Linked DNA regions of Anolis sagrei. The protein of the gene in region 1 purifies or fractionates together with the protein of each later gene. This does not show direct contact. Links are inferred from orthologs where the notes say so. Each region holds a gene or a part of one and is shown on either strand. Other genes may lie near its edges. The genes, in order: DCP1B, EDC4 and BAG4.

The links.
Region 2: the proteins of DCP1B (region 1) and EDC4 purify together in Homo sapiens (affinity purification with mass spectrometry; 3 studies listed by BioGRID and IntAct, with this or other methods). This does not show direct contact. The link is inferred for Anolis sagrei from reciprocal best matches to the Homo sapiens genes DCP1B and EDC4.
Region 3: the proteins of DCP1B (region 1) and BAG4 purify together in Homo sapiens (affinity purification with mass spectrometry; 3 studies listed by BioGRID and IntAct, counting the BioPlex papers as one, with this or other methods). This does not show direct contact. The link is inferred for Anolis sagrei from reciprocal best matches to the Homo sapiens genes DCP1B and BAG4.

Annotation. Positions count from the first base shown.
Region 1 is NC_090025.1:190,160,918-190,169,015, forward strand, and holds the start of DCP1B (mRNA-decapping enzyme 1B), read left to right. Parts: upstream 1-5,043; 5' UTR 5,044-5,057; coding exon 5,058-5,275; intron 5,276-8,098. UniProt on the Homo sapiens protein: May play a role in the degradation of mRNAs, both in normal mRNA turnover and in nonsense-mediated mRNA decay. May remove the 7-methyl guanine cap structure from mRNA molecules, yielding a 5'-phosphorylated mRNA fragment and 7m-GDP.
Region 2 is NC_090028.1:44,202,850-44,210,086, reverse strand, and holds the start of EDC4 (enhancer of mRNA-decapping protein 4), read right to left. Parts: upstream 3,093-7,237; 5' UTR 2,974-3,092; coding exon 2,898-2,973; intron 1-2,897. UniProt on the Homo sapiens protein: In the process of mRNA degradation, seems to play a role in mRNA decapping. Component of a complex containing DCP2 and DCP1A which functions in decapping of ARE-containing mRNAs. Promotes complex formation between DCP1A and DCP2.
Region 3 is NC_090027.1:10,444,606-10,451,579, reverse strand, and holds the start of BAG4 (BAG family molecular chaperone regulator 4), read left to right. Parts: upstream 1-3,871; 5' UTR 3,872-3,922; coding exon 3,923-4,072; intron 4,073-6,974. UniProt on the Homo sapiens protein: Inhibits the chaperone activity of HSP70/HSC70 by promoting substrate release. Prevents constitutive TNFRSF1A signaling. Negative regulator of PRKN translocation to damaged mitochondria.

The DNA.
Region 1 (8,098 bases):
CTCTTAACTATGATTTGTTTGTAAGTTGGATGTTTGTAACTTGGGGTCTGTATTATCTATGAGATCTACTTTTATTACTAATCTTAGCAGAGAAAAGGAACTGGGTTGCTGTCAGTTTTCCGGGCTGCCTGGCCATGTTCCAGAATCATTCTCTCCTGACGTTTCACCCACATCTATGGCAGGCATCCTCAGAGGCTGTGAGGTCTGTTGGGAACTAGGCAAGGGAGGTTTATATATCTGTCAAGTGATATATAAACTCTTGTCTGCTTGAGGCAAGTGTGAATGTTGTCCACCTTGATTAGCACTGAATAGCCTTGCAGCTTCAAAGACTGGCTGATTCCTGCCTTCCCAACAAAAGATTCCTCCAGGAATGATAGTAAATAGATAATAATAAGAAACAGAACTATTTAATATCTCTCAGAATATAAGTTTTTAACTTCATTTGTGTTTTTAAATACCCTCAATTCACTTCTCACATGATAAATAAATAGAATATATGATATTAATGCTCTAAGGATCTACGACGTTAAATAGATATAGACCGATCTACTTCATATGTTGGGATATATCATATTAATGCTCTAGGGAAATATGATATCAAATATAAAGAGATCTAGTTACCCTAAGGATATAATACACTGAATAGAGATACAAATAAAACACTAAGCTCTAGGGATATATGAGATGAAGTAGAAAATAAATACATAAACATAGATAGATCTACTTAACATTTCTAGGAATATATGATATTAAATAGGTAATAAAGCGATAGAAAAATCAAGATATAGACCCATTTAATATGTTTTGGGAATATATTGATGCTCTAGGAATATATAATAGATATGCTCTCGGAATATACGATATATATGCTTTAGAAATATATATTTAATAGATAATATATAGAGAGAAATATAGATAATCTATTTAGTATCTTATATATATCAATGCTCCAGGGATATACGATATTAAATAGATCTATCTATAAAGATATATGATATTAATTAGAAAATAAATACATACACATAGATAGATCTATTTTATATCTCTAGGAATATATGATATTAGATCAATATGCTCTAGGAATATTTTATATTAAGTAGGTAATAAAGAGATAAATAGATAGATAGAAGGACAGATCTATTTAATAACTCTTGGGATACCTATTGATGCTCTAGGAATATATGATATATAATGTATATGATCTAGGAATATATGACATATATGCTATAGAAATATTTAAAATATACTATAGAAATAAATATTAAATAGACAATCTATAGAGAGATAAATGTAGATAGATCTGTTTGATATCTCTTGGGATATATATTAATGCTCTAGGAATATAAGATATATAATAGCTATTCTCTAGGTAAATATTATATATATATATATATGCAATATAGAAAGATATGATATCCCTTGGGATATATATTAATGCTCTATTTCTATCCTAAAGAAATATATTATATTTCTTGGGATATATATTAATGCTCTAAGAATATAAGATATATAATATATATGCTCTAGGGAAATATGATATATATGCTATAGAAATATATGATACTAAATAGATAATATATAGAGAGACAAATATAGATATCTCTATTTAATATATCTTGGGATATATATATATTGATGCTCTAGGAATATATAATAGATAATAGATCTAGGGAAATATGATATATATGCTATAGAAATATATATTAAATAGATAATATAGAGAAAGATAAGTATAGATATATCTATTTAATATATTTTGGGATATATATATTGATGCTCTAGGAATATATGATATGTAATAGATATGCTTTAGGGAAATATATATATATATATGTTATAGAAATGTATAATATTAAATAAATAATATATAGATAAATATAGATAGATCTACTTAATATATCTTGGGATATATATTAATGCTCTAGGAATATATATCATACGCTATATATATATATAGATAGATAGAAATATATGATATTAAATAGATAATATATAGAGAGAGATATATAGAGATATCTATTTAATATCTCTTGTGATATAAATCTCAATATTCCCCAGGGATATTATAGATATCTCTATTTAATATCTCTAGGGATATCGGATATTAAATAGATATTTAATAGATATATAGAGGGATGGATCTATTCAATACCCCTAGGGGTATATTTTAGATAGGCAGACAGGACACAAGGCTCTAGGGATCCCTCAGGCCACCCCTTTCCCCTGCAATGGGCTTTCCCTCCCCTCCACCCGTCTCTTCGGCCTTGGAAGAGACCATTCCATCAGGGCGGGGATCCCCACTGGGTCTTTCCTTACCTATTCACCTCCCATTGTCCTCTTCCCTCCTCTGGCTGCCGAGAGCGGCCAAGCTGCCTCCTGCCTCCTCCTCCACACGCCCCCTCCCACCGCCCTCTGCCGCGGAGCATCCTGGGAGGCGTAGTCCAGAGCTCTTATCACTCGCCACGCTTAGATAAGGCGAGATTCCCATTGCCTTCCTTCGCGCTGTATTGTGGGTAGTGTAGTCACAGCGCCTGCGTTCTGTGCCCACACTGGGGCCTCTCTGAACTACAACTCCCATAGCAGAGTTGTAGGATATTAAATAGATGTATTTATTTGTCGTGTCAGAGCAGCCAGTCCATTATATTACATTTCTAACACAACAAAGCAAACAAACAGACAAAATACAAAACTTGTGAGTTTGGTGGTTGGTTAAATGTCCTTTGACCAGTATCTGGCCACTTGGAGTGCCTCTGGTGTTGCCGCAAGAAGGTCCTCCATGATGCATGTGGCTGGGCTCAGGTTACATTGCAGCAGGTGGTCAGTGGTTTGCTCTTCTCCACACTCGCATGTCAAGGATTCTACTTTGTAGCCCCATTTCTGAAGGTTGGCTCTGCATCTCGTGGTGCCAGAGCGCAGTCTGTTCAATGCCTTCCAAGTCACCCAGTCCTCTGTGTGCCCAGGAGGGACTCTCTCATTTGGTATCAGCCATTGGTTGAGGTGTTGGGTTTGAGCCTGCCACTTTTGGACTCTTGCTTGCTGAGGTGTTCCAGCAAGTGTCTCTGTAGATCTTAGAAAACTATTTCTAGATTTGAGTCGTTGACGTGCTGGCTGATACCCAAACAGGGGATGAGCTGGAGATGTCTCTGCCTTGGTCCTTTCTCTATTGGCTGCTACTTCCCGGCAGATGTCAGGTGGTGCAATACCGGCTAAGCAGTGTAATTTCTCCAGTGGTGTAGGGCGCAGACATCCTGTGATAATGCGGCATGTCTCATTAAGAGCCACATCTACTGTTTTAGCGTGTTGAGATGTGTTCCACACTGGGCATGCATACTCAGCAGCAGAGTAGCACAGCGCAAGGGCAGATATCTTCACTGTATCTGGTTGTGATCCCCAGGTTGTGCCAATCAGCTTTCGTATGATATTTTTTCTAGCACCCACTTTTTGCTTGATGTTCAGGCAGTGCTTCTTGTAGGTCAGAGCACGGTCCAGAGTGACTCCCAGGTATTTGGGTGTGCTGCAATGCTCCAGTGGGATTCCTTCCCAGGTGATCTTCAGAGCTCGGGATGCTTCTCTGTTCTTGAGATGAAAGGCACATGTCTGTGTTTTAGATGGGTTGGGGATCAGCTGGTTTTCCCTGTAATAGGCAGTAAGAGTAAGAAGTAAGAGCAGTAAGCAGTAATTAAATAGATAACATATATAGAGAGATAAATATAGATAGATGTATTTAATATATCTTGGGATATATATATATATATATATATATATATATATTAATACCCAAGAATATATGATATATAATAGATCTAGTATGTTAAATAGACATTTAATAGATCTATAGAGGGATGTATATATCTATTAAATATCTATTAAATGTATATATATATTAAATATATTATTATATTTAATACATTATATTTATATCATATTTAATATATTATTATATTAAATTTATTTATTTATTTATTTGCTTTATTTCTATACCGCATTTTTCAGCCCAAACAGGCGACTCAATGCGGTTTACATGGTACAAATTATCACAACAATGTCAGTGCAATTAAAATGCAACAAATGTAACAACAGGATCAACAACATCAATCCACAACAATTAACAAATCAACAAACAAAACAAAACAAAACATAGCGCCTCAGTGAAATCAGATCCGTTCTCATAATCCTTGTGCCAATCCTATATTCCATTTACCGTCTTCCTATGATCGGTTGCACTGTTTAACCAAACGCTTGTTCATAAAGCCAGGTCTTGACCTTTCTCCGAAACGCCAGCAACGAAGGTGCTTGTCTGATGTCTACCGGTAAGGCATTCCATAGCCGAGGGGCCACCACTGAGAAGGCCCTTAAATGTATGTATATATCTATTAAATGTATATAATATGATCAAGGGTCTGGAGAACAAGCCCTATGAGGAGCGGCTTAAGAAGCTGGGCATGTTTAGCCTGAAGAAGAGAAGGATGAGAGGAGATATGATAGCTATGTATAAATATGTGAGAGGAAGCCACAGGGAGGAGGGAGCAAGCTTGTTTTCTGCTTCCCTGGAGACTAGGACGCAAGGGAACAATGGCTTCAAACTACAAGAGAGGAGATTCCACCTGAACATGAGGAAGAACTTCCTGACTGTGAGAGCTGTTCAGCAGTGGAACTCTCTGCCCCGGAGTGTGGTGGAGGCTCCTTCTTTGGAGGCTTTTAAGCAGAGGGTGGATGGCCATCTGTCAGGGGTGATTTGAATGCAACATTCCTGCTTCTTGGCAGAATGGGGTTGGACTGGATGGCCCATGAGGTCTCTTCCTACTCTTTGATTCTATGATTCTATGTCTTGGTGATATTATTATTATTATTATTATTATTATTATTATTATTATTGATTTTAGGCCTGTGCTAGTTGCAGTGAAGCCTGGAGTGAGCTGAGCTGCGTTGCCAGGAGCAACCATCTCCAGCTTTTCCGTTTCGGCGCTCGATTGTTTGAGGCTGGTCCCCTTGCTTTTGCTTCTTCGGCAGCGTCAACAGAGGCCGATGATCGATCGATGTCTCGGCGTTCGGCTGGCATGCCTGGCGCCTCGGGTGTTGTGTTGCTCAGGGAAGCAAGATGGCGGCGGCGGGCGCGTCGTCGGTGGCTGCGGCGCTGTCCGGAGCCGCCCCGCTGGGGAAGGGGCTGGACATCAGCCTGGCGGCTCTGCAGCGGCACGACCCTTACATCAGCAGCATCGTGGACGTGGCCAGCCAGGTGGCGCTCTACACCTTCGGCCACCGCGCCAACGAGTGGGTGAGTGAACCCCAGGGAGAGAGACAGAGAGAGAAGGCCGCCATTGAGGGAGGAGAAGCCCAAAAGGGGCCGCGGCCCCTTTAACTAGAGTCATACAACCATAGAGAACACGTCAGCCATCTAGACCAAACTTGGGCCCTCCAAGTGTTTTGGACTACAACTCCCACAATTCCTAGCAGCCTACCGGCTGTTAGGAATTGTGGGAGTTGTAGTCCAAAACACTTGGAGGGCCTAAGTTTGCCCATGCCTGATCTACACCAACCCCATTCAGCCATGCAGGAGAAGCCCCATCTAAGCAGCCCTGACAGATGGCCACCCAGCCTCTGTTTAAAAGATTCCAAGGAAGGAGCTTGTACCTAGAATCCTAGAGTTGGAAGAGACCTCATGGGCCATCCAGTCCAACCCCATTCTGCCAAGAAGCAGGAATATTGCATTCAAATCACCCCTGACAGATGGCCATCCAGCCTCTGTTTAAAAGCTTCCAAGGAAGGTGCTTGTACCACACTCCGAAGCAGAGAGTTCCCCTCTTGAACAGCTCTTAGAATTATAGAATCAAAGAGTTGGAAGAGACCTCATGAGCCATCCAGTCCAACCCCCTGCCAAGAAGCAGGAATATTGCATTCAAATCACCCCTGACAGATGGCCATCCAACTTCTGTTTAAAAGCTTCCAAAGAAGGAGCTTCCACCACACTCCAGGGCAGAGAGTCCCACTGCTGAACGGCTCTCACAGTCAGGAAGTTCTTCCTCATGTTCAGATGGAATCTCCTCTCTTGTAGTTTGAAGACATTGTTCCGTGTCCTAGTCTCCAGGGAAGCAGAAAACAAGCTTGCTCCCTCCTCCCCGTGGCTTCCTCTCACATATTTATACATGGCTATCATATCCCCTCTCAGCTTTCTCTTCTAAACATGCCCAGCTCCTTAAGCCGCTCCTCATAGGGCTTGTTCTCCAGACCCTTGATCATTTTAGTCGCCCTCCTCTGGACACATTCCAGCTTGTCAATTTCTCTCTTGAATTGTGGTGCCCAGAATTGGACGCAATATTCCAGGTGTGGTCTAACCAAAGCAGAATAGAGCATGGGGAGCATGACTTCCTTAGATCTAGACACTAGGCTCCTCTTGATGCAGGCCAAAATCCCATTGGCTTTTTTTGCTGCCACATCACATTGTTGGCTCATGTTTAACTTGTTGTCCAGGAGGACTCCAAGATCTTTTTCACACGTACTGCTCTACCATCCAACCTCTGTTTAAAAGCTTCTAAAGAAGGAGCCTCCACCACTCTCCGGGGCAGAGAGTTCCCCCGTTGAACAGCTCTTACAATCAGGAAGTCCTTCCTAATGTTCAATATTTTCTCCTGTCATTTGAACCTATGGCTCCAATGAGTCTTAGTTTCAAGGGCAGTGGGAAAAAGCCTGCTCCTTTAAGAAAAACATGAGATCTGGGTTGTTGTAGGTTTTTTCGGGCTATATGGCCATGGTCTAGAGGCACTCTCTCCTGACGTTTCGCCTGCATCTATAGCAAGCATCCTCAGAGGTAGTGAGGTCTGTTGGAACTAGGAAAAAGGGTTTATATATCTGTGGAATGACTAGGGTGGGACAAAGGATTCTTGTCTGCTCGAGCTAGGCGTGAATGTTTCAATTGACACCCTTAATTAGCATATAAGTTGATCTTAAAAACTTTATTTCAAAGCCTGCCTGAATAAAAAGGTAACCTGCTGTCTGAAGGACAGGGAAGAGGCCGTTCTGGCTTCCTTGGGCAGAGAGTTCCAGAGTTGAGGGGCAGCCACTGAGAAGGCCCGCTTTCTCGTTCTTAGCTCAGTGCTAAGGAATCTTGGGATATGCTGTTTTTTTATACCCCACTTTCATCTTTAGATTGGGGGTTGTAGTTTTACAGGGTCTTTAATCTTTTGTGTCCAAAAAGTGCTGGTACCTCACCAAACTTCAACTCCCAGGGTTCCATAGTAGCGAGGCATGACTTAGACCACAAGCAGAGAATGAGTCAATGGTGTAATGTGGCAGCTAAAAAGAATTGCAGTGCAATTCTAAACTAGATCACCAGGAAGATCTGGTTTTAGTGGTTCCCAACCTTTGGGCCTTCAGGTGTTTTGGACTTCAACTCCCTGAAATTCTAGCCAGCTTACCAGTTGTTAGAGCAGGGGTCCTCAAACATTTTAAACTGTTGGAGGGCCGGATTATAATTTGAAAAAAACATGAATGAATTCCAATGCACACTGCACATATCTTATTTGTAGTGCAAAAAAAAAAAACCATTTAAAAACAATACAATAATTAAAATGAAGAACAATTTAAACAAATATAAACTCATTAGTATTTCAGTGGGAAGTGTGAGCCTGCTTTTGGCTGATGAGATATAATTGTTATTGTTGCTGTGTGCCTTCAAGTCATTTCAGACTTAGGTTGACCCTGAGCAAGGGCTGGGTAAATGACCTTGGAGGGCCGTATCCGGCCCCTAGGCCTTAGTTTGAGGACCCCTGTGTTAGAAAATGTGGAAGCTGAAGTCCAAAATACCTGGAGGTCCAAAGGTTGGGAATCACTGAATGAATTCAAGTCTCCAGGGCCAAATGAACTAGATCTAAGAGTATTGAAGGAACTAGCAGAAGTGATTTCAGAACCACTGGCAATAATTTTTGACAATTCTTGGAGAACAGGAGAAGTCTGGATTGGAGAAGGGCAAATATTTGGGGGAAGAGGACCCAAACAATTACTGTCCAGTCAGTCTGACATCAATACCAGGAAAAATTCTGGAGCACATTGTTAAGGAGACAGTCTGCAATCACTTAGAAAGGAATGCTGTGATCACTAAAAA
Region 2 (7,237 bases), on another chromosome or scaffold:
TTTTTCTAGAACCCAGAAGCGATGGGGCCTGCCTGTCGCCTTCGGGCTGCGAAAGGCGGGATATAAATACGGTAAATAAATAATAAATAAATAATGGTGTTGCTGGAGAGAGAGTTTCACAGTTGAGGAGCCACCCCTGAGAAGGCCCTGTCTCTCATCTCCATCAGTTGCACTCGTGAAGAAGGTGGAACCGAGATCAGGGCCTCACCAGAAGATCTTACACGTACTAGTAGGCTCCTAATCTTTAAAAGGTCATTGTATTTAGACTCTGTGCCTACTGACTAATATTGAACTGCATGTATTGTATTTAAAGTCTATTATCCACGCACTAATATTGAATTGTATTTTAACTCTATAGCTACGCTGTAATATTTATTTTTAACATGTGAGTTGTTTTCAATGGGATTGGTATTAGATTGTGGGGTTGAGTTGTTGTAGGTTTTTTTTCAGACTAACTGGCCGTGTTCTAGAGCAGGGGTCCTCAAACTTTTTAAACAGAGGGCCAGGTCGCAGTCCCTCTAACTGTTGGAGGGACAGGTTATAATTTGGAAAAAACATGAATGAATTCCTATGCACACTGCACATATCTTATCTGTAGTGCAAAAAACATATTACAACAATACAATAATTAAAATGAAGAACAATTTTAACAAACATAACCTTATTAGTATTTCAAGAGGAAGGGTGGGCCTGCTTTTGGCTGATGAGATAGGCTTGTTATTGTTGTGTGCTTTCATGTCATTTCAGATTTAGGCTGACCCTGAGTGAGGGCCAGGTAAATGACCTTGGAGAGGCGTATCCGGCCCCTGGGCCTTAGTTTAAGGACCCCTGGTCTAGAGGAATTCTCTCCTGACGTTTTGCCTGCATCTCTGGCAGGCATCCTCAGCGGTTGTGAGGTCTGTTGGAACTAGGAAAATTGGGTTTATATATCTGTGGAATGATGTCCAAGGTGGGAGAAAGAACTCTTGTCTGTTGGAGGCAAGGGTGAATGTTGCAATTAATCACCTTGATTAGCATTTGATGGCCTGGCAGTTTTTTTGGTGTGGCTTGTTCGTGTCTGGGGGAATCTTTTGTTGAGAGGTGATTAGCTGTCCCTGATTGTTTCCTCTCTGGAGTTACCGTGTGTGTTGGTGTTGTTTTGCTATAATAATTTTAGAGTAGCCAAAAACCTGCCAGGCCATCAAATGCTAATCAAGGTGATTAATTGCAACATTGTATTGTTGAAGGCTTTCATGGCTGGAATCACTGGGTTGTTGTAAGTTTTTTCGGGCTATATGGCCATGTTATAGAGGCATTTTCTCCTGACGTTTCACCTGCATCTATGGCAAGCATCCTCAGAGGTAGTGAGGTCCTCACAACAACCCAATTGCAACATTCACTCTTGCCTCCAAAAGACAAGAGTTCTTTCTCCCACCTGGGACTTAACACAGATATATAAACCCAATTTTCCTAGTTCCAACAGACCTCCCAACCTCTGAGGATGCCTGCCATAGATGCAGGTGAAATGTCAGGAGAGAATGCTTCTGGAACATGGCCAGACAGCAAGGAAACCTCACAGCAACCCAGTGATTCCAGCCAGGAAAGCCTTCGACAACAGATTGTGGGGTTGTTGGCCAGCTTGAGTCCCTATGGGGAGAAAGGCGGGGGAGAGGAAAAAACTTAATAATAATCATGTATTGTTGAAGGCTTTCATGGCCGGAATCACTAGGTTGTTGTAGGTTTTTTCGGGCTATAATGCCTCTAGGCCATGGCCATATAGCCCAAAAAGACCTACAACAACCTAATAATAATAATAATAATAATAATAATAATAATAATGGGTGCTGACTATCTGTGGGCAGAAAAAGGCAGCAGGAGAGGACTTGACACTGGAGCGGGGCTTCCTCCCAGCCGCTCAGAGCTCGGTACTTGGCTTCAACGGGCAGCCTAAAAGCACGACTCATCCTCCTCCTCCAGCCCAGGCCCTTCTCAGAGGCGCTTGGGCTCCCTCTCCATATAATCACCTCTCAACAAAAGATTGCTCCAGGCACTGTCAAGCCATTAAATGCTAATGAAGGTGGTCAGTTGAAACATTCCCACCTAGCTCCAGCAGACAAGAGTCCTTTGTCCCACCCTGGTCATTATTCCACAGATATATAAACCCTTTTCCCTAGTTCCAACAGACCTCACGACCTCTGAGGATGCTTGCCATAGATGCAGGCAAAACGTCAGGAGAGAATGCCTACAGACCATGGCCATATAGCCCAAAAAAACCTACAACAACCCAATAATAATAATAATAATAATAATAATGGGTGGTGAAAATGGCAGCAGAGGCCCAGCTTCCCAAAGGGCCTGACACTAGAGCGGGGCTTCCTCCTCCTCCAGCCCAGGCCCTTGTCAGAGGCGCTTGGGCTCCCTCTCCATATAATCACCTCTCAACAAAAGATTGCTCCAGGCACTGTCGAGCCATTAAATGCTAATGAAGGTGGTCAGTTGAAACATTCCCACCTAGCTCCAACAGACACGAGTTCTTTGTCCCACCCTGGGCATCATTCTTGATATATAAACCCATTGTCCTAGTTCCAACAGACCTCACTACCTGAGGAGGCTTGCCATGGATGCAGGCGAAACGTCAGGAGAGAATGCCTCTAGAACATGGCCATATAGCCCGAAAAAACCTACAACAACCCAATAATAATAATAATAATAATAATAATGGGCGCTGAAAATGGCAGCAGGGGCCCAGCTTCCCAAAGGGCCTGACACTGGAGCGGGGCTTCCTCCTCCTCCTGCAGCCCAGGCCCTTCTCAGGGGCGCTGGGGCTCCCTCTCCGGCCGGGGCGCCCTCCTCCAGGCTAGGCCGCGAAGCCGGGGCCTGGCGTTGTCCCTCCTTCCCGCCGGCCTGGGCCTCCTCACCTGCGGGCCGGTCCAGCTTGAGGATGTCCCGCAGGTGCTGCGTGGCATCCTCGATGTCGATGCTGGCCGAGGCCATGGAGACCCCTCGCCCGGCCGCCCTCCTCCGCAACACACGCCGCCTCCGCCTCTGCCGCTCGCGCCGACTCAGGTAGGCCAAACCCCGACGCGCAGCCCACTTCCGCTTCCGGTCCGTGCTTCCCGCTCCTTCCCCCCGCCAACAGCAGCCCCGCGCATTGAGTTCCGCTTCCAAACAGGCGCTTGGCGCAGGAATCCTCCCCGGAAGGTTGGAGAGAGACCGGGATATTTTTTGGGAATACATGGCTCTGTATCCCAGGATCTGGTCCCAGCCCAGATCCCAGACCCAGGGCCGGGTAAATGACCTTGGAGGTCTTCATCCGGCCCCGGGACTTAGTTTAAGGACCCCTGGTCTAGAGGCATTCTCTCCTGACGTTTCGCCTGCATCTGTGGCAAGCGTCCTCAGAGGGAGTGAGGTCTGGTGGAAGTAGGAAAGTGGAATGACCAGGGTGGGAGAAAGAACTCTTGTCTGCTGGAGCTAGGTGTGAATGTTTCAACTGACCACCTTGGTTAGCAGTGCCTGGGGCAATCTTTTGTTCAGAGGTGATTAGATCCTCAGAGGTCGTGAGGTCTGTTGGAAATAGGAAAAAAAGGGTTTATATATCTGTGGAATAATGACCAGGGTGGGACAAAGGACTCTTGTATGTTGGAGCTAGGGGTGAATGTTTCAACTGACCACCTTGATTAGCATTTGATGGCCTGGCAGTGCCTGGGGGAATCTTTTGTTGAGAGGTGATTAGACGTCCTGATTGTTTTCCCTCTGCTGTTCTGCTGTTTTAATTTTAGAGTTTTTTTAATACTGGTAGCCAGATTGTGTTCATTTTCATTGTTTCCTCCTTTCATGTCACCCCTAGCTCCAACAGACAAGAGTCCTTTGTCTCACCCTGGTCATTATTCCACAGATATATCAACCCATTTTCCTAGTTCCAACAGACCTCACTCCCTCTGAGGATGCTTGCCATAGATACAGGCGAAACGTCAGGAGAGAATGCCTCTAGAACATGGCCCTATTGCCTGAAAAAAACCACAACAACCCAGTGATTCCGGCCATGAAAGCCTTTGACAATACATTGTCCACATGCTTCTTGTGGATTTCAAAGGCTTCTCTGTGTAGCCTGACGTGGTGGTTGTGAGAGTGGTCCAGCATTTCTGGGTTCTCCAATAATAATCTGCTGGGTCCAGGTGTGTTCCTCAGGTGCTCTGCTATGGCTGACTTCTCTGGCTGAATTACCCTGCAGTGCCTTCCATGTTCCTTGAAAATCCAGGTGGTTATCTGCTTTGAATTGGATTATCTGGCAGTGTCCAGTTCAGAACTGATAATGTGGATGATCTGGATTATCTGGCAGTGTAGAAGGGGCCTTACACCCATCATTGGCTCTGGGAAGATGCTCCAAGCCAGGGCTAATTTTACAGCAACCCCACCATGGGGTTTTCGTAGCCAGATTTTTTTTCCCAAGGGAGAGAACAACAACAACAACAATAATCTTTGTTTATAACCATAGGGGACTCGGGGCGGCTAACGTGAGGCCAAGCCCTGGAATATTACAGCATAATTAGGCACAAAACAACAGAAAAATTACATCACAGCAAAATACATAAAATAACATAATAAAATAGACAGTGCAAAATAACATAATAAGAATCAAACACAAAGGGTGGGGGGCTTTTTTTTTTTTTTTTTTTTTTTTGTCGTGTCAGGAGCGACTTGAGAAACTGCAAGTCGCTTCTGGTGAGAGAATTGGCCGTCTGCAAGGACGTTGCCCAGGGGACAATGCTAGGATGTCTTGATCTTTTACCATCCTTGTGGGAGGCTCCTCTCATGTCCCCGCATGAGGAGCTGGAGCAGGTAGAGGGAGCTCATCCACCTCTCCCCGGAAAGCCTCCAGGCAGAAGGTGACATTGTCAGGTATTGACGTTACTCCAGGCTCCAAGCGCAAAAGGAGTTGGGTGTCATCCGCATATTGAGAGCAGTCCAGGCCGAATCTCTGAGCCAAACTGGCAAGGGGTCTCACGGAGATGTTGAAGAGAAGAGGGGAGACAATGGCACCTTGGGGGACCCCGCATAGGAGGGGGAACTTTCGAAGACCGCGAATTCTGGACATGGCGAGACGGTGGATCATTAAATCGTAGTCAACGGTGTCAAACGCTGCGGTAAGATCGAGAAGTACCAGAAGCGCTGATCCGCTGTTATCAGACTGGCGACGAAGTTCATCCGTAATGGCAACCAGGACCATCTCCGCCCGGGCAAAAACCTGAGTGGAAAGGGTCCAAGCCGGCTGTGTCATCCACAAATTGCTGCAATTGTCACAATACAGGCCGCTCTATCACCTTACCTAAGAATGGAAGATTAGAGACGGGACGGTTCAAATCCGGGGAGCGGGGTGAGCTCCCATCTGTTAGCTTCTTATGTGGGGACATGAGAGAAGCTTCCCACAGGATGGTAAAACATCTGAGCGTCCCCAGGGCAACGTCCTTGCAGATGGCTAATTCTCTCACACCAGAAACAATTTGCAGTTTCTCAAGTCGCTCCCAGCACTCAAAAAAGTAGGAAAATTATTCTGAAGACCATATAGCGCATGCCGTTATTCAGAGGCTGAAGGTCACGTGAGCAGGACAAGCTCTCCCCTGAGCTGTTCCATCAAAAAGAATGAGCCAGGGCCCCTTTGAAACAAAACGTGTTCCCTGTGAAATTCACCTTTTGTAAGGCATTCTGTGTCTATATGGCTGTTGAACACGCTGCTCTTATTAAGGCCAATACAATAAGTTCAAAACACAGAAAGATGGACTGCCTTCCTTCCTCCAACATTCAAACAAGGCGAAGTCATTTGAGGTTTGCACCAAAGACACCTGGGTCCTAATAGTCCTAATAGTGAGTTTGCAGGGAGAAAAACCTCTTCTTTCTGTCACTTGCTTCGAAGACCAAAATGCTGTCAATCTTAACAAGGTTGAAAATAAATCCCACAAACATTGGGACTATCTCAAAGGAAGTCTACACACATATTAAGCCTCATTGCCAAACAACTTTCCAAAACTGGTCTGCAACACCACTGACAAGCAGGGCCATAAGCTGAATCTATACTGAATCTGAATTATATGGGCAATGTAGACTAGGCATGGGCCAACTTCGGCCTTCCAGGTGTTTTGGACTTCAACTCCCACAATTCCTAACAGCCTACCGGCTGTTAGGAATTGTGGGAGTTGAAGTCCAAAACACCTGGAAGGCCGAAGTTGGCCCATGCCTGGTGTAGACCCATACAATGCAGTTCACCTGCGTTACATAGGTCTCCACTGACCATACTGTACAGATTCAAACTGCATTATATGGCAATGTAAATCCAGCCATAGTTGTTCAGAGATGCTTCCCTGCTGGGAAAAGTAGCAGTCACGTGCATCTTCCCTGAGTGAGGAAACACCACCATGAAAATATAAGGACGCAGAAGCATCAGTGCAAAGAATATATAGCCTGTTTTCCCCAAAATAAGTGTCTTATATTAATTTTTCCTCCCAAAGATCTGCTAGGTCTTATTTTCAGGGAATGCCTTATTTTTCCATGAAGGATATTCACATTTATTGTTGAATCACAGCTGCATGCTCTGGTGTTGTTCGGAGGACGTGCTTCCAAACAAAAACTTTGCTAGGTCTTACTTTCGGGGGAGGCCCTATATTTAGCAAAATCTCTACTAGATCTTATTTTCAGGGGATGTCTTATTTTTCCATGAAGAATCTTCACATTTACTGTTGAATCACAGCTGCATGTATCTGGTGTTGTTCAGAGGACATGCTTCCAAACAAAAACTTTGCTAGGTCTTACTTTCGGGGGAGGAATTATATTTAGCAAAATCTCTACTAGATCTTATTTTCAGGGAATGTCTTATTTTTCCATGAAGAATCTTCACATTTACTGTTGAATCACAGCTGCATGCTCTGGTGTTGTTCAGAGGACATGCTTTCAAACAAAAACGTTGCTAGGTCTTACTTTCGGGGGAGGCCCTATATTTAGCAAAATCTCTACTAGATCTTATTTTCAGGGAATGTCTTACTTTTCCATGAAGAATCTTCACATTTACTGATGAATCACAGCTGCATGCTCTGGTGTTGTTCAGAGGACATGCTTCCAAACAAAAACTTTGCTAGGTCTTACTTTCGGGGGAGGCCCTATATTTAGCAAAATCTCTACTAGATCTTATTTTCAGGGAATGTCTTATTTTTCCATGAAGAATCTTCACATTTACTGTTGAATCACAGCTGCATGTATCTGGTGCTGT
Region 3 (6,974 bases), on another chromosome or scaffold:
ATGTAAACACTGGTGGAGTTTGGGGAAAATAGACCTTGACATTTGGGAATTGTGGTTTCTGGGATTTATAGTTCACCCACAATCAAGGAGCATTCTGAACACTACCAATGATTGAATTGGGCCAAACTTCCCACACAAAACCTCCATGACCAACAGAAAATACTGTGTTTTCTGGTGTTCTTTGGTGACCCCTCTGACACCCCCTTGTGACCCCTCCAGGGGTCCCGACCCCCAGGTTGAGAAACACTGTTCTAGAGGCATTTCTCCTGATGTTTCGCCTGCATCTATGGCAAGCATCCTCAGAGGTAGTGAGGTCTGTTGGAATTAGGACAATGGGTTTTTATATCTGTTGAATGGCTGGGGCAAAGAGCTCTTCTCTGCTGGAGCTAGGTGTGAATGTTTCAACCAACCATCTTCATTAGCATTTGAAGGCCTGGCTGAGCCTGGGAAAATCTTTTGTTGAGAGGTGTTTAGATGTGCCTGGTTGTTTCCTCACTGCTGTTTTGCTGTTGTAATTTTAGAGTTTTTTAATACTGGTAGCCAGATTTTGTTCATTTTCATGGTTTCTTCCTTTATGTTGAAACTGTCCACATGCTTGTGGATTTCAATGGCTTCTCTGTGTAGTCTGACATGGTGGTTGTGAGAGTGGTCCAGCATTTCTGTGTTCTCAAATAATATGCTGTGTCCAGGCTGGTTCATCAGGTGCTCTGCTATGGCTGATTTCTCTGGTTGGAGTAGTTTGCAGTGCCTTTCATGTTCCTTGATGCGTGTCTGGGCAATGCTGCTGCGTTTGGTGGTCCCTATGTAGACTTGTCCACAGCTGCATGGTACACGGTAGACTCCTGCAGAGGTGAGAGGATCCCTCTTGTCCTTTGCTGAACGTAGCATTTGTTGGATTTTCTTGGTGGGTTTGTAGATAGTTTGTATGTTGTGTTTCCTCATCAGCTTCCCTATGCGGTCAGTGGTTCCCTTGATGTATGGCAGGAACACTTTTCCTCTGGGTGGATCTTCATCTTTACTCTCGTGGCTTGTTCTTGGTCTTGCAGCTCTTCTGATGTCTTACTTACTTAAGCAATCCCTCATTGGACGAGTAAGATGGTCTTCCTTGATGACTATTTTTGTGGATTCGTAGGTGGCTGTGGAGCCCTATTCTTGACCCGCATCTTCTCCCACAGTGAAGGCATTGGTTTCCAGGTGGAAGGCGGTCCTGGTCAGGGTTGGCTTGACGCGCCTTCCTCCTGGCACGTTTCTCTCTTTCGCCCTCCACTCGTGCCTCCTCGAATTCTGCAGCACTGCTGGTCACAGCTGACCTCCAGCTGAAGCAGTCAAGGGCCAGGGCTTCCCAGTTCTCAGTGTCTATGCCAGAGTTTTTAAGGTTGGCTTTGAGCCCATCTTTAAATTTCTTTTCCTGTCCAGTTGGTTTGTTTTTTCATTTTCTTTGGAAGACGCCTGTGCGTGGGTTTTTTTTAATGTGTGGAGGTCAGTGCACAACTGATCGACACACAGTCTTCACAGAGTGAGGTTCCACTGGTGATGTAGTTTGACACAATAACCGTGGCTTCTCAATCTGTTGCAGCCTTCTTCCGCCTTCACAGCCGTTGTAACATGTACCATGTTATCCTCTGCCTGCTCCGCCGTTGAGGTCTTTGAGTCTTCGGACTGTGCTTGGTCTGGAACCTCCCCTGCGGCCACTCCTGGGAGTGCACGATTCCAGTCGTTGTGCCCACAGGTTCATTGGAACACGCAAGCCCCCTCACCACGACAAGGTGACAGTCCATTGAGGGGACCTACAAGTCACTCTAAACACCTTTGCAGAAGCATATGAGAAACTCAGCCTGTCACTGAACATCGAGAAAACCAAAGTCCTCTTCCAGCAGTCACCGGCCAACCCCTCTCCAATGCCAGAAATACAGCTTAATGGTGTAACATTAGAAAAAGTAGACAATTTCCGCTACCTTGGCAGCCCTCTCTCCACAAAAGTCCACATTGACACTGTAATTCAACACCGCCTGAGCTTTGCAAGTGCAGCATTTTTCTGAATGAAGCAGAGAGTGTTTGAGGACATCCGTAGGGATACCAAGGTGCCCCAACTCTGGCAGTCTTTAGGGTTTTATATTGCTGACGTGCTACTTATTATGGCATTTAAAATGTCTGTATTAGAGTCTAAGTTGTATTGTCGGCAAAATCTATAGGGGTTGCTCTCGAAAATGTGCAGGATGGAGTTGCCTAGGTTGATTGACCACCGTATTCTCCATTCTCCAACATGGATTCTGAAGTTCTAAACAGGCAACAGAAAGTCCTCGATCTTTGCAAAGGCTGGCAGATGGAACTCCAGCTGTGCTGCAATGATTTCACACTTTGGTCCTTGGAAAACTAGAATCTCTTCCCAAGGTCCAGGGCACCTTGGCCAGGCTCTTCCCTGAAGTCCCATGGGGGAACCGCATCAAGTCCCCGGGTCCAGAGCTTGGCAGAGGCGAGAGGCAGCGAGGAGCGATGAAGCAGCAGCCATGGAACCAGCATATTTGGCAATCAGCTGTTTCTAATAAAATATATTCTCAAAACTTGAGAGGTTATTTCCTGAGCGTAGGGGTCCAAAATAAGAAAAGTGAGATGGCAGACAAGCTTAGAATTTAGTGCAGAAAAATAAGACATTAAAATGGAGCCGATCCGCCATTTTGTGGATATGGAGATCTGAAAGGAAAAACTCCGTATCCGCGGTTTCAAGCGGCGTGGATTCGGCGTCCCCGGAACGCCAGGAAGGCATTCCGGGCAGGCTCGCAGTCCCCCGCGGCCTGGAAAAGGTTGAATTCATGCATTTAGTTAGTTCAGGCAAGAAGTGACACAAAGTATCAAGCTAGAAAGTTAAAAAGTTGCAATTTCAAGTATCTTTATTAGGGGAATAGTTACAATGTTAGGGCTTGGGGAAAAGTGATAGAAAGGCACAGAGGCTTGGTACAGTCCCTGTTTGAGCTGTCTGTTGGGGCACATTTCTTCAGTTTGTTCCAATTTGGGCTTCCAGGAACTGCGGAACTCTCCGCTGCGGGTCAGACCAACTTGAAGGTGGGGGTCTCCACTGCCCTCGATGACATCAGGTTGAATCATGTTCAGATGAAATCTCCTTTCTTGTAGTTTGAAGCCATTGTTCCACGTCCTAGTCTCCAGGGAAGCAGAGAACAAGCTTGCTCCCTCCTCCCTGTGGCTTCCTCTCACATATTTATACATGGCTATCATATCTCCTCTCAGCCTTCTCTTCTTCAAGCTAAACATGCCCAGCTCCTTAAGCCGCTCCTCATAGGGCTTGTTCTCCAGACCCTTGATCATTTTAGTCGCCCTCCTCTGGACACATTCCAGCTTGTCAATATCTCTCTTGAATTGTGGTGCCCAGAATTGGACACAATATTCCAGGTGTGGTCTAACCAAAGCAGAATAGAGCATGGGGAGCATGACTTCCCTAGATCTAGACACTATGTTCCTCTTGATGCAGGCCAAAATCCCATTGGCTTTTTTTGCCGCCACATCACATTGTTGGCTGTCCACAAGGACTCCAGAGTTGGTGACATTGTGATAGTGACTCAATGAAACCTCTCCTGGAAAAGAAATGATGTATTTGGGACACATTCCAGGTTTAAAGAGAGCTCTTTAAGGGTGACTCCAACTTTGCTATTGGGTCAAGCTCAATTGCCTTCGACAATACCTCAAGCTCATCTGATTGGGCCCTATCCAGATGACGTCACCGTTCCGAGCCAGCACTGAGTCCTCAACATCCGGGAATGCCGCAAAAGGTCAAACATGGCGAGAGAGAGAGATCGTGCGCGCGGGGGGAGGAGTGGGCGGGGCGACGACTGTGATTGGCTAAGGCCGCGCTCAGCCCGCGCAGGCGCAGTTGCTTCTTCTCAAGAGGGGTGAGGAGTAATCGCTTCGAATGGCGGCCGCTCTGAGGAGACTGTTTCACGGGCCCGACGTGGAGCGTGTCCGGCCTGAGCCAGAGCCCCCACCGCCGCCCCCGTGGGGAGGAGATGCCCGCAGGTGCCCGCAGCATGGCGGCGAGAGGACGGCTCGGGGTGGCGCCCAGGTAACGGCCTTTCCTGACTGGGTGGCATCCGGGCACTTTCTGACCCTCCTTTTGGTCTGCCAGGGTTGGGGGCTGCCAAGTGCGCATGCGCTAGGCCGCACGCTTGCATCCTCGCGTTGGAAGAGACCTCAGGGGCCAGCCAGACCAACCCCGTTATCCTGCATGGCAGGAAAAGCACCAAACAAGCCCTCCTTGCAGGTGGCCACTCAGCCTCTGCTTACAAACCTCCACCACGCTCCAGGTCAGGAAGTTAGTTCCTAAAGTGGAGGTGAAATAATAATAATAGACAACAAAAGATTGCTCCAGGCACTGCCAGGCAATCATAAAATAAAGAGTTGGAAGAGACCTCATGGGCCATCAAGTCCAACCCCATTCTGCCAAGAAGCAGGAATATTGCATTCAAAGCACCCCTGACAGATGGCCATCCAGCCTCTGTTTCAAAGCTTCCAAAGAAGTGTCAGAGTGAGACCCTCCGGTCTGGCACAGCGAACTTGAGGTTTCCAAAACACACAGACTCAATTACCACACAGCATTCTTCTTCGGTTTCAAAAATAATAAGCTTTACTGGAAGCATCTATTTACAGGCGACTACATATTGATGAGGAAAGATGGTGACTGACAAAGTACAGGACTAAACACACAGACAAAGAAACATCCTGCCCTTCGCCTTATCTGTCTTCTAGCTGGTTGACTCCCTTTTGTTCTCAGGACTGTTATCTCAGTCTCAAGGACTTTACTCTCACTGCCTCTAGTGACTACAATTCTAGCACACAGCTGAACATAACTGAATCCATTATTAACACATTGAAAAACATACATAAAATAACTGCAATTATCCTGACAAGAAGGAGCCTCCACCACACTCCGGGGCAGAGAGTTCCACTGCTGAACGGCTCTCACAGTCAGGAAGTTCTTCCTTATGTTCAGATGGAATCTCCTCTCTTGTAGTTTGAAGCCATTGTTCCATTGCGTCCTAGTCTCCAGGGCAGCAGAAAACAAGCTTGCTCCCTCCTCCCTGTGGCTTCCTCTCACATATTTATACATGGCTGTCATGTCTCCTCTCAGCCTTATCTTCTTCAGGCTAAACATGCCCAGCTCCTTAAGCCGCTCCTCATAGGGCTTGTTCTCCAGACCCTTGATCATTTTAGTCGCTAATCAAATGCTAATCAAGGTGGTCAGTTGAAACATTTGCACCTAGCTCCAGCAGACAAGAGTCCTTTGTCCCACCCTGGTCATTCCACAAATATATAAACCCTTTTTTCTAGTTCCAACGGACCTCACTACCTCTGAGAATGCATGCTATAGATGCAGGCGAAACGTCAGGAGAAAATGCCTCTAGGCCATAGCCATATAGCCCGAAAAAACCTACAACAACCCAGTGATTTTGGCCATGAAAGCCTTCGACAATACATTGTTGTGGTTTTTTTCTCTCTCTCTTCTTTCTCACTTTTTTCTTCTAAATGGTTTTTATTTTATTTAACTTTATTTATACCCCGCTACCATCTCCCGAAGGACTCGGTGCGGCTTACAAGAGGCCAAGATCCAACACATCAATAAAACAACAGCATAACAAATACAACAATAAATGAACTCATAAAGCAAAGCAATAAACATTAAAACAATAACAATAAGCAACACCACGACACATTAAAAACTGAGGCCGGGCCAAATGTAATAGATAAATGCATCTAGAATATGGCCATATAGCTCGAAAAAACCTACAACAACCCAGTGATTCCGGCCATGAAAGCCTTCGACAATAATAATAATAATAATAATACTTTTTTTATTTCCCGCTACCATCTCCCCAAGGGACTCAGTTCAGCTTACATGAGGCCGAGCCCACAATACATCAATAAACAAGAGCAATAACAAAAACAATCATTATAATACAATTAATATAAATAATAAACAAATAAAACAATTAACAGTAACACAAGCATTTAAAAACCAATAGCCGGGCCAAATGTAATAATGTAACATTTAAAAAATAATGCTCGGCATGAACAAGGTAGGATATAACTGGTATAGGGTTTTCAAAAAGAGACGTGGGAACGCAGTCAGTCCTAAATCAAAAGTGCATTTTGAGGGCGTATTGCAGAGAGTTTTCCTTATTCTGGGAAGGCACACTGGAACAACCATGTTTTCAGGCTCCTCTTAAAGACTGCCAGAGTTGGGGCTTGCGTAATGTCCTTGGGATGTGAGTTCCAGAGTTGGGGGGCCACCATCGAGAAGGCCCTCTCCCTCATTCCCACCAATTGCGCTTGCGAAGGAGGTGGGAGCACGAGCAGGGCCTCTCCAGATGATCGAAGAGATCGTGTAGGTTCGTACACAGAAATGCGGTCACACATAATAATAATAATAATAATAATAATAATAATAAAAATAATAATAATAATAACAACAACTTTATTTATACCCTGCCACTATCACCCCAAGGGGACTCGGGGCGGTTTACATAAGGCCAAGCCCAGCAATACAATACGTCAATAATAAAACATAGCAATTAAATGGAAGAAATAAAGATAAAAAATACAATACAAAACCATAGTAACTAGCACGTTGACAATATAAAATCGCAACCATTAAACACAGAACAAACATTGTGGGCAGGGCCAATTCTAATAGATCAAAAATTCAAAACACTGTGTGTGACAGGAGTGTAATGTATCTGGACAGGGAATCCAGGGTAAGGTAGAGTGGATTGCACTAACAGGAAAAATAAGGTGCTTCCGAGGGGATTTTGCAAAAATTGGTCAGGTCAGGGGATTATTGTTCATTCATTCAGTGAAGGCACACTGGAACAGCCAAATTTTCAAGCTCTTCCTGAAGACTGCCAGAGTGGGGGCTTGCCTAATATCTTTGGGAAGCCAGTTACAGAGCCAAGGGGCCACCACAGGGA